Linked DNA regions of Lytechinus pictus. The protein of the gene in region 2 purifies or fractionates together with the protein of the main gene of each other region. This does not show direct contact. Links are inferred from orthologs where the notes say so. Each region holds a gene or a part of one and is shown on either strand. Other genes may lie near its edges.

Region 1 (7,735 bases), on a different chromosome or scaffold from region 2:
AGAGTTGTGTCTAAACGCAAGTCAAAAAATAAATCGTAAGTCCCAAATGCGCGCTGTTGATTGGTTGAAAATCAAGTTGCGAATGATTTTTAGAGTTGCAATTGATTGCAACTCTTTCTGCAATGGGCCCCAGAAAGCTATTATATATTGTTTTGCTCGAGCGTTCTGATCATTCATGCTATTTTACTCCGATGGGTCTGTTTTTAAGACTATTTTACGAGAGCGGTATAAACACAAAAAAGGAGAAAATACACTTTTTTATTGGAACTGACTGATTTTACAATACCACCTTTCCACTCATTCACATCATTACAATCTGCACCAATTAAGTTGGTATGGTTTTAATTCGTCATATTCCAACCGCATTTACTTATTTTATTAGTAGTGGATGAAGTAATTTTGCACGTGAGAGTATTTTTTTCCGACATGAAATAATCTTGCAGCACTATTCAAATGTTTATCACGTATAGTATTATGATCCCATAGAGATATCAAGCCGTATTGAAGAAATATGTTAATGCCCTACATTAATTATGTTCATGGTAAGATTTTTGCTGTATTTAGGCAATTTATGCTCTTTTAGAAATTAAGATTTTCTTACGTGGAAGAGACGAGTTTTAATCGCAAAAATTGTTCAAGAGTGTTCCTGCCCGCAGCAAGAAGTCAGTCCTTTTGACAAGAAAGGAGGTTATGAACATGGCGTTATCCCTCATAGCCTCCAGCACTGCCTCCCTCTTGCGGTGGATTTTAGTTAATCTCTTCGTCATTATTTTTGTTCAGTAGCAGACCGCGGAGGGAGGGTGGGGAGAGAGGGGGAATTACGGGTAAGGCTATTAAAAACCGCAAAATATTAAAGAACTATGGCAGCGGTTCAATTTCGGTGTATAGCTCTATCCAATAACGAAAACCACAAAACCTATTCTTTTGTTGTTGATCGCTTTTATCGGCTTTATTTGGCTAGTGAGGAATTTCAAATCCTACTTTATGTTTTATTTTTATTCATGTTAAATCCTACTTTATTAAAGGAGAATGAAACCCTTGAAACCAGCTGAATCCATATCAAAGAGAAAAATCAAAGAAACATATTGTTGAAAGTTTGCGGAAGATTGAATGAATAATAAGAAAGTTATGAGCATTCGAATATTGAGATCACTAGTGCCATGTAGATCCTCCCAACGGCAATGCGACCAAGATCTGTGATATCACACACGTACAACTCCCTCATTACTTTAGTACTTATTTCACTTATATTCTCACTTTTATAGAGTCTATCACAAGGTGAGGTGTTCTCTTTATGAGATGACAAGTACAGAGGTTTCACAACATTATATCATTGATGAATCGTTTGTCATATGATTAGAATGAGCAAAAAGAGATGTTTTGGGGTATATTTTCAGTGTCCAAATGGGAGAGTTGTACGTGTGTGACATCACAAATCTTGGTCGCATTGTCAATGGGAGGATCTCCATAGCATTAGTGATCTCGACATTCAAATGCTCATAACTATTTTATTGCTAGTCCTATTTTACTCAAAGTTTTGTTGATCTTATTCTTTGATTTTTCTGCTTTCACAAAAGCTAACTTGCTCCAAGAGTTTCATTCTCCTTTAATGTATGTATATTAACGTTTTCCTTTAAAAACAACTTTCTTCTCTCGTTGGGAAGGCGTTCTACGCCTTTATCCACCTCCTACCTCTCTCTCTCTCTTTACCCCCCTCCCCCGCTCCAATAGTCTCCCACATCCCACTCTCTCTTGCACAACTCTCTTCGTCCTTCCCATTCCCTCCTATATAATCTCTTATTTATGCATATAAACATTGAAATATTGAATTAAACTTGATTGACTGTGATCTTCTAACCAAAATTATTAACTCGATATTATTTACAACAGAAATCGTCGACTCGGTCCGACTGGAAAAGAATTTCCATCACCCCCCCCCCCCCCGCACATGCCCTTTGACCTACTGTGTTTATGGCCCGATATTCCTTAACAAAAAGGGACAGGGTCACTCATGGGGTGAAAGTTGAATAGTGAACACGTCACAAACAAAAGCATCTCACTGGGAAACGTCGAGAGTCACTCCGCTCATGACGGAAAACGGGACAACAGTTGCTCGCTCGCGCGCGACAACAATATTTTTGTTCAGGTCGTGCGGACTGTTTGGTAATAATAACGCATCAGGTCGATCTTTTAAAAGGTGTTAATATTGATTTTGCTTATTCATGTTAATTTGTACCGTTTTTATAAGGATGCATGAGGGAATGTTTAAAGGTGTGGAAATTCATTTAATGAATCCAGGAAGTTTTTTGGTAGGGGTTTTGTTTTATTAATATAGTTGGGGGCATAAATATATAAACGTCCTGAAGGTGAAGTCCAGTTCTTCTCTTTTATATAACACTTCTTTAATTGTTTCGTGACATTTTGTCCCCTTTTCTTTCCTTTATATTCACTTTTCCTCTTATTTCTCTTGTTAAAAAACTAAAGAGTAGCCTCTCCCTGTAAGCACCGACCCTGAACACTAGTACTCATAAAGTATTATTTAGATGCGGGGAATATAATGATACCTCATTTTAGAACAAGTTTGTGAAAAAGTTGATTATTTTGTGCAAGATTACACATTCGTAAGTTCGCTAAATAATTACAATAATAAGTTTTCTTCTTATTCGTCGCGCTTGGGCGTCTGATCAGCAGTAAGCATAATGGAGACTGAATAAGTCATAAAAAGAATCATGAGAATCGCCTAAGAATTCCGCCATCCCGTTAAAGTGATAACAATATTTTAGCAGGTTAATTGGAGGCTGTTTACTTTTCAAAATGGTCATTATATTCAACTTTCATCTCTGGTGAATGTAAATATTGGTTAACTCCAAATAAAACTGAACAATATTTTAAACCATTATGTATATTTTCCGGAAAAATAACTTTGTTATTATGTTTGTATATCTTTTTTCTGCTAAAGACGATAGCAATATGGTTGCCCGATGAATTGAACCGGTCCAATTTTCCCTACAGTGTTCTGTAAATAGCCTAAATGTGGCCATTTTCTCGGTAAATTAAAAATTCCATTGTCAAAACGTCATAAACCACCTGCAAAATTATTGGAAGTAATCGGGGACAACCGCCCAATATTTTCATGGTTAGTGGAAAGATACACACCAAATGGCAAGTTAGGGTTCTCATCGACGTCAAAATATTTGCTCCAAAAATTGCCCCGGTTTGATGAAGAATAAAAAGCGAGGCATAACTTGCGGGCATTGTGAGTGAAAACATTCGGGGCGTGAGGGGCATTCATTCTCCCTTGATTGTGGTGCAAGAGTTTCCGATTCGAGAAATAATAGTCATAATTTTATTCTCGTTTAAAATGGTGGGGTTTGTTCATAATTTTGCAAAGGAAACACCCCCAGGACAGGTGCCTATGTAGGACAGGTTCACACTGCAAGGACAGTCATATAGTATATCAAAGCAATTATTGATTATCAAGGTTCACATGGTTCAATACAAAACCGGTCCTTTGCTATAATTTAGCTCTATTAAAAATAGTTTTGAGCAACACTGAAATACATCTATAATGAATCATTGCTGATGTGAATGAATGTCAAATGGCGTTTCTCATAATTATGTTCTAAGCTTCATATATACATGTAGTTATATCATTTCTACAGTTCATTTAACAAATCTGTCGAAAAAATGTTTGTTTGCTTTCGTCTCCGAACCAGATAAAAAAAATACAAGAAAGGACATAATGTGAGAAAAAAAAAAACATAACAAGCGGAGGATAGCCAACATAGAGCAACGTCAATAAAAATACCCTGTTCTCATCGGGGTCCTGTTGCAGACAGAGTTGCGTTGAAACAAAAGCCCAAAAATCATTCGCAGGTCCCAAATGCGCGCTGTTGATTGGTTGAAAATCAAGTTGCGCATGATTTTTAGAGTTGCAATTGGTTGCAACTCTTTCTGATCTTTCTGATCATTCACTGAATGAAAAATGGTGGTGATTAATCATAAAGCAGGGTAGGATAAGGAGGGGGGGGGGCGCTTTGTAAAAATACAATTTTACATGTTCTGTTAAATATCCTCATCCTTCTGTGTGTTTTTTTTTTTTTTTTGTCACCATTTTTTATTTGATTATTTTTTGTATTGTAGTGCATCTCTTTCTTGTAGGGCAACTTCCATTGCGGTTATCAGATTTCTTAGATCCGATCGAGTCTTTTTTTTTTGGAATGAGCACATTTTGTTGTTTGTTTGTCATGATTTCTCTCAAGAAATCTATCCTCATCTAATCATAATAATATATCATCATCATCATCATCGCCATCATCATCATCGCTATCACCACTACCATCACCACCATCATTATCATCATCATCATCATCATCATCATCGTTATTATCATCCTCCATCTCATCATCGGCATCATCGCTATCACAACCACCACCAACACCATCATCATCATCATCGCCATCATCATCATCGCTATCACCACCACCATCACCACCATGATCATCATCCATCATCAACATCATCGTCCACTTTCATCATCGATATTGTCATCCTCCTCCTCATCATTATCGCTATCACCACCACCACCATCATCATCATCATCATTATCAATGCAGTACGTACACCTATGAAAACGAGTTTAAGCCGTTCATTCACGACGCCATCTCCCGTCCATAATAGGAATACAATAACAATAATATTGCGCATGCGCAGATTGTACATCGCAGAACATGATTATTTTCAACATGGCAGCCGGGTCCGCTGGGGAACCGGGACCTCCACCGTGCAAAGTCGGCGACATCGTTTCCTGTAAGACATGTCTGGAGGCTAAAATTGAAGGAGAAGTGTTGGCTTATGATTCCAATAGTCGACTACTTGCCATAAGTATCCTTTTGAATGCAAAATATGTTGTTGAAGAGACATGAGCATGATGAGTAGAGAAAGCCATGGCATGATGACCGATGACCACGGTCCACAGCACAGGCACAGCCAACCACCACTCACTCGTGTGACTGTGAATGTGAACTGACTATACTCTAAGGATGGGGGATCGGGTGTCCGGACACTTTATATTTTTGAAGCCTTCTTTTTTGTCTTAAGATTACACTAAAAATATGAATTCAATAGTTGTAATCATCTTCTATTTTGTTCTCTATAATATTTTCTAAAATTTTGTACTAAAAATTGATGAAACTTCGCTTGTAAATTTTTCCAAATGACTTTCTAAAATTGATCGTCGGGACACACAACCTGTCCGGACACACAACAAGTGGGTATACTGAGTGAGCTAGCCTATGGCTATGGGAGTATGGCTGAGCGCGCCAGCGCTACACTACACGAGTGAGAGTGGCTGTAGGATGTTCGATGTGGTCGTGGCTATGTCATGGTGGCATGATTGATGGTGATGTATGGTGGTAAGGCGCTAATGCAGTTTCGCATCGGCCGATTACCAGCATACCTCATCACCAATACTTGTTCCCAAATGTCATGACAAGTCAGTCACATTTCGAGGTCAAGACAATATACCTAGCCAGGCGGCTTCTAGAGAGTAAAAATCATTTACTAACGTAAGGTCACTCTCATACGAAGCCAGGGCTTACGTCATATACTTTTGCGTGTAATCGGCCGGTGGGAAACTGCATTAGCGCTTGTCTGCGCATATCTGCGTGATTTCTAGTAAAAGAAGACACGAGACTACCACAAAGTAAACTTTCATAGCCAATACTTATCTGAGCTGACTCAAAATGGTGGAAATATAATGAATTTCGAGCATTTCATGTGATGACCTCAAAATGCAGCCCTTTCATCAAAATCCCTGAATCGTGTCTAACGTGAATGGGTCACATGCGTAGCCAGGAGGAGGCTCCTCGAGAGTAAAAATCATTCAACTAACGTGTGCTTACTCTCCTCGGAGCCAGGGGTTGTGCCCCATTTATAGGCGTACATCGCGGTCAATGATGCAATTTTCGCCCTCGAGATTTCTACTTTCCCTGTTAAAAGATCTAGCCCTAAATCGTGTAAATGGGCTAGAACTTCATTTCCAACATTTATAGAATATACCGGTATATAGAGAATATTTACATGTACACACTACACTCTAATATTCATGACTTGATCTCATTGGACATAGCCTAGCTAGTGAACAGCTAGAGCTCTATCTTTGATGTTGATGTCGGTCAAACTTGCTCTAACTCGGTCTTTGACACAGTTTTGATGTTGACTGAAATTAGCAATCAAAATTAATGCTTGCACAGCTGGTAGAGTTTTTAAGAAATAGGGGATAAAATTTTACTGATATTTAGCTCCAATATTGCGAATGTGAACTATATTTTTTTCTGCAAAATTTGTTTTAAAGAATTGTAAAACGTGCAGAAGGAGCAATGTGAAAGACTCTGTATGCACCTTTACGAGTGGTTGCTCAGTAGAACCAGAAGTATATAACTTTTCGGACATCCGACCGTTACGAATCAAATTGTGGCAGGACTCCTCCATTGCCCATTCTTTAAAGGTCAAATCCACCCCAGAAAAGAGTTGATTTAAATAAATAGAGAAAAATCAAACATGAATAACGCTGAAAACTTCATCAAAATCGGATGTAAAATAAGAAAGTTATGACATTTTAAAGTTTCGCTTATTTTTCACAATACGGTTCTATGCTCAACTCAGTGATATGCAAATGAGAGAGTCGATGATGTCACTCACTCACTATTTCTTTTGTTTTTTAATGTTTGAATTATACAATATTTCGATTTTCACGAATTTGACAATTAGGACCCCCTTGCTTGAACCACAAAATGTTAAAATAATGGAATTCCACGTGTTCAGGGAGGAATGAAACTTTGTTCACATGACAATGACGAGAAAATCAAAATATTTCATATAATAAAATACAAAAGAAATAGTGAGTGGGTCATGTCATCGGTCCCCTCATTTGCATACCGAACAGTATGTGCATATAACTGTTTTGAGAAAATAGGCAAAACTTTAAAATGTTGTAACTTTCTTATTTTACATCCGATTTTGAAGAAATATTCAGTGTTATGCTTGTTTTATTTTCCTCTTTCTATTCCAATCAGCTTTTTGTTGGGGTGGACTTGTCCTTTAAAATCTAATCAAGCTTTAGAATATTTTTGTATCTTCATCTTCCTTAATGACAAACTTCAACTTCAGAAAAACCGCCCACCTCCAGCGAAAAGAAGAGCTTGTGCGATATTTGCATTGTGAACCTCAATCTAGTGAGCGATTTCCAGATCAAGCATGAGAATGCTGAACCACCCAGAGAACCGCCCTCTCTTGATGCCAACAAGGTAATGATGCTGTATTGATTGATAACTTGTGGGCTGTTTCTTGATTCATGGATGTCCACTCATTAATTTCTGTTAAGAGAGCCTAAATGGCTAGGCCTACACTTGATTCAATATTACTAATAATTACTAGTAATCCTTTTACATGGTGTTGAGTACATTGGAATCGTATATCTTTGTAATATAAGATACAGATTTAATTTTACCCCTTACATGATCAGATTTTTGCTTACCCACCCATGCTTTCTCCACTCCCTGGGTAGCATTTCAGCGAGAATGCCCAAACTCAAGTGCAAGATGCACTACATTTGCTTGTATAACTTAATTGGTACCTGTAACTGGCAAAGTGTACATTTGTTGATTGAAGCCTTGACAGAGGAGTTGGTGCTGAGTTGGGATAAGAAGACTCGACCACCTGATTTCTAGGGGAA
Region 2 (7,583 bases):
CTCGTATCATTGCCAACTGTGCCCTTGTCATGCGAGGACCCGTTTTATGTGTGAGCAAGTGCCCCTTGCCTTCTCTTATCAGTGCCCCTTTTTACCCAATAAAAGAGCCCCTCACGAATGTGTTCTCTGCATGCCCCTATAATCTGAGAAGGACCTTTTTTATGTGTTAATGAGTGCCCCTTTGAAACAAGAAAACAATATCCTCTTTACTGCTTATAATGAAGGAAAAAACTTGTAAGAATAATCCAATACGTGCCTTCAAGTTTTAAGAGTCAAGTGAGTGGGTAGATAAGCAGTGGCGTACAGATGGGGGCTTGAGGGGCTTATGCCCCCCCCCCCCCCAAAAAAAAAAAAAAAAAAAAAAAAATCACGACCAAGAAAATACAAAAGAGAAAAGCAAGAAAAGGAAAGAGAGAAGGGTGATATATAATATTTTTTTCTGAATGTTACGTCAAAATATCACAAAATTGGATTTTCGTTATAAAATGTCGATAAAATTTCCTCGCTCGCTTCGCTCGCTCGCAACTTATCAATTTTACGTGATATGATCTCTAGCCCTGTCAAAAAATTTCGCTCATTACCCCGCGTTAGATATTAAGTCTTTTTTCTTTGTTTTAAGAATATATATAAACATATATAAACATGATTAAGTGAGGCAACTCAATCTTTAGGCTACATGTATTAATAATATTGGTGAGTCAAACGTACCTCAATCATTGTAAAATTGTAATAGTAATCAATAATAATATAATGCCATCAAAAATAATCAATAGCAGTCCGAGTATGATGACCCAGACAGTGGATAGTAGGACCTAATTTCCGGAAACATATACGTAAAATTGCACATACATTATGGTCAGTTTTAAAAAAGAAAAAATGAAAATAAAAGAGATTTTAAACAAAATTCTTCCTCCTCCTCTTTCTCTTTAATTCTTCTTTCTTGCATGTCGTGTGTTTGAATTTCCTCCCCCAAAATAAAGCTTGGCATGAAAAGTTATTGACAAAAATAAAGCTTAATTCTTTTTCGATAACTATAGCCTCGGTCAGGGAAAATATGGCGCCCGAACCATTTTCTTTAAAAAAAATATAAAAAAAAGTGGAGAATGATAAAACATCAGAGCGCTTTTGACAAAAAAAAGAGAGAAAACAGATAAATCTAGACTTAATAATTTGATTTTACGGCATTAGTATTCGTGTTGGGTGAAGTCGTGAGGTAAATTTGAATAGAAAAGGCTAGGCATTTTAATGCATTGCGGGGGCTAGCTCATTGACTTGCTATACTCGCACTTTAAAGGGATGGTCCGGGCTGAAAATATTTATATTTATATCTAAATAAATAGAGTAAAATTCACAGAGCAAAATGCTGAATTAAAAAAAAAATCAAAATCGGATAACAAATAATGAAGTTATTGAATTTTAAAGTTTATCAATATTTTGTAAAAACAGTAATATGCACATCGTCATGAATATTCATTAGATGGGCTGATGATGTCACATCGCCACTTCCCTTTTTCTTATGTTTTTACATAAAATCATAATTGTTTCATTTTTTTCATACATGTGTTAATGATGTGTCTCATTATGATGAAATATAATGTTTGGTCTAATCGATTTCAAAACAATAATGAAATACTCAATAAACTGCACAAGCGTGCAGCGTATATCATATCCGGTTGCTCTTGGATGACTCCATCAGCAGTGGCGTAACTACGGGGGGCATCGGGGGCACGTGCCCCCCCAATCGGCTGGCCAAAAAAAGGGGGGAGGAGAAAAAAGAGGGAGAAAGGGAGAGAAACGTAGTGGGAAAGAAGAAATTATTGTTAATTTATAATGTTATATTACATTATAATTATATTATGTTATATTACATTAAAAAAATAATAACTTTATGAAAAATAATTTGCCCAGGGCCTATATGTCTTCATTGTTCCTGGTGCTCGCATTATCTTTTTTACGGGATTTATAATCCTGTTGTACTAAAACCTCCTGTTTTCAAGTCAATATATATACCAAATATATTTCCTCGCACTTCGAATTATTATTATTTTATATGTAGTGACATATGCTTCTTTTTCATGACTACTTAAAGTGATACCCCCATTCTGATTCATTTGCATGACACTGAGTTGTGCATATCACTTTTTTGTGAAAAATAAGCAAAACTTTAAACTGCCATAACTTTCTTATTTCATATCCGAGTTTGAGGAAATTGTCAGCATTATGCTATAAAGTTAGATTTTTCTCTATATATTCAAATCAACATTTTTATGGGGTGGACTTGACCTTTAACAAGTCCCTTTTCAAGTCAGTAGTGCCTTTACATTGAAAAAAATTAGCTCACGCTTCTCGCTCGAGTTTGTGAAACATATATATAGGCAAAACTAGTGTGTTGCCCCCACGGGCGTAAATCCCGGGGGATGGGGGATACATCCCCCCACTTTTCGGAGAGGGGGGGGGGGGGGGTGGCATGTCCAATCATCCCCCCTTTCAAGATAGAAAAAAACAATTTTTTAAATCATCAAATGGTTAATACTACTGTTAATGTGTTGATTTATCTTCAAATGCTAACAAAGTGCTTAAATTGGCCTACTTTTGCATTAAAAAATTGCGAAGATTTCTCGCACGGTCGCGTTCAATCGATTCTTACAAGACTTTGGTCGTGACAAATCACTATAGCAAAGGTTATATCCACTGCATCATGGGAGTATAGTTATAATTAGTCCATTTATGAATATGTGATTCCAATTACTTTTAAATATGATTATAACTTATCATAACGAATCCAAATATCCTCTCGTGAATATGGGGGGGGGGGGTCATCTGGTATCTTTGTGGAAGCGGGGGATTTTGTTAAAAAATATTTGGCTTACCGTATTCTTCAAGTTAAGCGTACGATGAGTCACTGAAAACACTGATCAGATCAATGCCGTTAATGAAACACTATAGAACTATTTGCTCAAAATATCAAATGTTGCATCATCTCCCAATATAAGATTATTCGAAATCTTTCCATTTCATATACAATTTCATTGTGATATACCCTTTTTAAAGTTTATATATTGTATCCTGTGATGGCCTATGATCATTTTATAATAATATGACACCCTTATTCCCGATAATCATGATCTTATTTTTGTTATCTTTCTCATCTCACTTTAAACAATGAGCAAATGAGTTTTCATAGAACAAAACTTGACTATTTAATCCCTATTTTCTCTTTTTATATTTCTTGTTCAAAAGTTTATATTATTGATAATACCTTTGTCATCATCATTTTAAACGACTGAAGCAATTTTTTAACGCTCGATCGCTAACTACGCTCATCGTTGCAATTTCTCCCATAATTACACTCCTTGAAATACGACTTGGTCATCATTCTGTCTTCCAAATATGGAAAATTTGCTAAGTGCTTCGCTCGCTCGCATTTGGATACTTCTGTAATCCATTCGTCACAACGAATCCATAACAATATAGCCATCGAAACAAAAAAGACACCGTGATAGTCCTTCAAGTGAAAAATGGTATTATCCACGCAGTTATATACCCCCTGTACATATAACCATGATGTGCTAATTATTACATACCACTTAAGGTTTTGGGGGGCATACTTCTTTCTTCCACCTATTGAAAATTTGCTCGCTCGCTATGCTCACTCTAAGTGCAATAAGCAGTCCTCAACAGGTACTTTTTCGATCAGTTCAAAACGTACATAAAAAATTTCTGCTCGCGCTTTGCGCTCGCATTATTAATGTAAGTAAGAGCACCAATTACTCATGATTTGCAAATGAAGAATAGAGTGTCTCGTTTTTAGGTCTAAATCTAGAAATTTTCCGCTCTCATCGATTGTTATACCTATTCTATTTAAGTTACAAAAAGTGCTCAGAATTTCCATTCTTAAGGTAAAAATGTCAAAAATACTAAGTTAGATTCTCATGCATGAAAAGGTGATTTTCTTTTCTCGCTCGCTCTTCTTCTTCTTCTCTATAAGTACAGGCCACCGTCTGGCGTATTGTACTGTGCTCGGGACTTATATACCGGGCTTATATAGCAACATTTTGCCGCACGCGCCATGATGTGCCCCCTCTTTTTTGTACTTATCACACATTGAGCTTCGCCCTAATGCTCGGGCACAACCATCAAAATCCATTTCATGACCGGGAAATTTTGGGCTCTTGGTCCCGCCTGGCCATCACCGACCCCTGTTACGCCCCTGCCTATAGGCATACAATAGAACTTTTACTGTGCCAGCTTCATAATACTTAACTGGAATGATTTGCCACTCATAACAATAAAGTTTCGATCAATTACAATTTTGGGGAAAGCATTAAAACCCATCCCTTTAATATGACTGTCAAGATAAAGGTCATAATTATGGGAAAATCACAGTGTAAAATAATAATTTCTAAATTAAAAGACCCAGTTCTAAAATAGGTCATGGTAACCCCTTTTGATATGTCTGACTGCGCGCCGAGGCGTATTGCACTACAATGATAGTAAAAAGTGCGCTATGAAATATAGTTCTTATTCATATCGATCGTTCTGTATCTTAAAGATACAGTGAATCTCAGTTCAAACGAAATTAATTTCAATCGATGATTGATAGCTAATAAATATATATGCAAGACATTTAATCCCTTAAAAAAGATTTTTAATCTTTCCTTTTACACTTGCGTCCACTATCAACTTTACAAAATTAGTGCGCCAGCTGCCGTAGTAACTTTCTCACGCAGTGGAACCTGAAAATCAGGACATTTTTCGATATTGTACCTCGAATTTGTATCCTATTGGAAATATTATTGTTTGATTGTAAACAGTATCACCTGACCAATCGGAAAATTATCGATATGAGGGACTGATTTTGTTGATTTCTTCGGAATTCTACCTTCTTTCGAAAGATTTTAGCCGCGTACGTGCGCTAGTTTCACACCGGTATCATAATGAATAGTAGGCGATCTACCCGTGACCGCGACCGAGTCGTGAAAACGAACAGTAGTAACACCGGCAGGTCAGTAAAATGTTGAAAATTGTGATTATGTTGTGATTTGATGATGAAATAGTTTAACAGTGGTGATCTTTGTGAATTATGCAAGGAGGTGAAAACTAGTAATTTGTATGTTTTTATCTGGAACTAGTGTTTTATCATGGCCGATTGTTTGTAAACAGACGGGTGGTTGTGGCATCTCGGACTCATTTTTTTGCTATTGAAAAGTGTGTGCATGCTACATCATGTAGACTCTCTGTATCGATGGCGGCGGTATATTGCTAACTCTCTCTCTCTCTTAGGTGATCCCTCCACTGTTTTGGAGATTCTAAGATACGATTAGAACAAATCCCAGTCCGGTAAATTACAGATTCAGCATCAAGTTGGAGCGGTAGTCATGAATTTTATGTAGAAAAAAGAGGGATTTAAGGAGCAGCATGTATGATATATGGTGGTCCACAAAAAAGGCACTAGTCTGTGCACCTAAAAACAATTTGATTTTGAGTTAAGATATAACAAGGCTCCATATTAACTTTTTTTTGGTGGTGGCCCATTCGGGCCACCAAAACCTTCATATAATTTTTTTGGTGGCCCGAAAAATATATAGAAAAACATTAAAAATGAAAAAAACAAGTTTCTGATATATTAATTCTGTACTGTAGCCACAACTTGCACAAGTACTAACTACAACAACTACAAGTACAACTCACAAGTAACACTACTGTACAGTAGAGAGGTGCACGACCAATATGGGAGACTCTCCAATAGGGGAGACAATCTCCCATATTGGTGACTTGCTTTGCAAAAGGACAAAAGAAACGACACCAACAAGAGCATAATTTTTTCCACCCCAAATTTTTGTCTCGCTGAGGTCAGCTCAGAAGCCCATTTGTTTTGTGTGCGGATGACAACAAAAATCCTTAAAAGTTAAAACAAAAGTACAAAGTAGATGGTGAATTTTCAAAGTAGACGGTGAATTTTCAAAGTAGACGGTGAAAAGGGGAGATTTTTCATGAGGAATCTGCTTATCATATTTTTATTTGCTGCCAAGTTAATCCTTTTGCAGCAAATGTAAACAAAGGAAATTGGTCTCCCAAACTGGAGACCGTCTCGGAAATAGGATACCCAAATTCTTTACAAAAGTCTCTGATATTGGAGACAACCTCCCACATGGGAGACAGTCTCCCATATTGGCCGTGCGCCTCTACTGACTAAGTTACTTTCACTTTGTATGGTAGGGGGCCCTAAAGCTATGCACCACTCATATCATCGCGCATGCAGTTTTTTCTACAGAGGCTGCAGTAAATCTCTAAATGTAGAGAAAACCCACAACTGTTTGGAATTTTTGAGTTATATTTGCTTTAATTTCATATTATTCTATAATAATATGAATATATTTTAGAAATTGAGACACAGGAAATACTATTTTTGTGTATGACAAATCGAGTGCCTAGCTTTAGGACCCCTTCGACATTGGGCGGCGAAATCAAGAGGTGTTCGGAAAACACGGCGGGATTTTCATATTAGTGAGTTTTGTGATATATTCTTCTTGGTTAATGATCTTTGGAATGTTAACCACAATTAAGTGAAAAATAATTTGTTCAAATATTAAAATTGGCATAGTTTTTATTGTTTGTAAACAAAGTGCGTAGCTTTAGGTCCCCCCATCATACATCTTGTATGTAAACCTTGTTTGCTGTTATTTTACTTTGCAAATTGATTTGTGGTAAAATATAAATTGTTCTATCATTGTAAATATGAAATGATTGAAAGAGAATTGAAAGAATTGTATTGTTCCCAGGTTGTGTGGACTTTTTTTTAATCTCCTTAAACACACGCACTCATAATGGTAAAGTAAATAAATAATGCATAACAAACTGGGATAGATGTACATCAAGGCTCCATATTAACTTTTTTTGGTGGTGGCCTGTTCGGGCCACCAAAACCTTCAAATAATTTTTTTTGGTGGCCCGATGTTAAAGTTTGGTGGCCCGAAAAATATAAAGAAAAACATTAATTAAAAATGAATAAAACAAACTTTTGAAATATTAATTCTGCAGCCACTACCACTAAGTTACTTTCAATTTGTACATCTTGTATGTAAATCTTGTTTGCTGTTATTTTACTTTGCTAATTGATTTGTGGTAATATATAAATCGTTCTATCATTGTAAATATGAAATGATTGAAAGAGAATAAAAGAAATGTATTGTTCCCAGGTTGTGTGGACTTAAAAAAAAATCTCTGTATAGACACACACTCATAATGGTAAAGTAAATAAATAGTGCATAGCAAACTCAGATAGATGTACAAAACAATGATTTTTCCTTTCTTCCTTTTTGAATCCTAAAACCGAGATTATGTAGGCCCCAAATCCAGTTTATTTTCTCTTTTCCAGCATATTATAGCAGGAGAAAATCACAGAAAAATATGCTGCAAAAATTAAAATAATGCATAAAAGGGGGAAACAAACAAAAACAATTTTTAGAATAGTATATTAAAAGAAAACAAAAATAATAAAATAAATAAGTGAAATAAAAAACAAAGAACAGGAAAAAAAGGAAAGACAAAATTTAGAGAAAAAAAAGAAAATGAATAAAACA

Evidence for each region. Proteins that work in one complex are often made in the same cells at the same time.
Region 1: the proteins of ataxin-2-like (region 2) and protein LSM12 homolog B-like purify together in Homo sapiens (affinity purification with mass spectrometry; 4 studies listed by BioGRID and IntAct, with this or other methods). This does not show direct contact. The link is inferred for Lytechinus pictus from reciprocal best matches to the Homo sapiens genes ATXN2 and LSM12.

What each region holds. Positions count from the first base shown.
Region 1 is NC_087257.1:24,888,666-24,896,400, forward strand, and holds the start of protein LSM12 homolog B-like, read left to right. Parts: upstream 1-4,699; 5' UTR 4,700-4,730; coding exon 4,731-4,884; intron 4,885-7,170; coding exon 7,171-7,307; intron 7,308-7,735. UniProt on the Homo sapiens protein: Nicotinic acid adenine dinucleotide phosphate (NAADP) binding protein. Confers NAADP sensitivity to the two pore channel complex (TPCs) by acting as TPC accessory protein necessary for NAADP-evoked Ca(2+) release.
Region 2 is NC_087246.1:36,084,858-36,092,440, reverse strand, and holds the start of ataxin-2-like, read left to right. Parts: upstream 1-4,479; 5' UTR 4,480-4,937; coding exon 4,938-5,005; intron 5,006-7,583. UniProt on the Homo sapiens protein: Involved in EGFR trafficking, acting as negative regulator of endocytic EGFR internalization at the plasma membrane.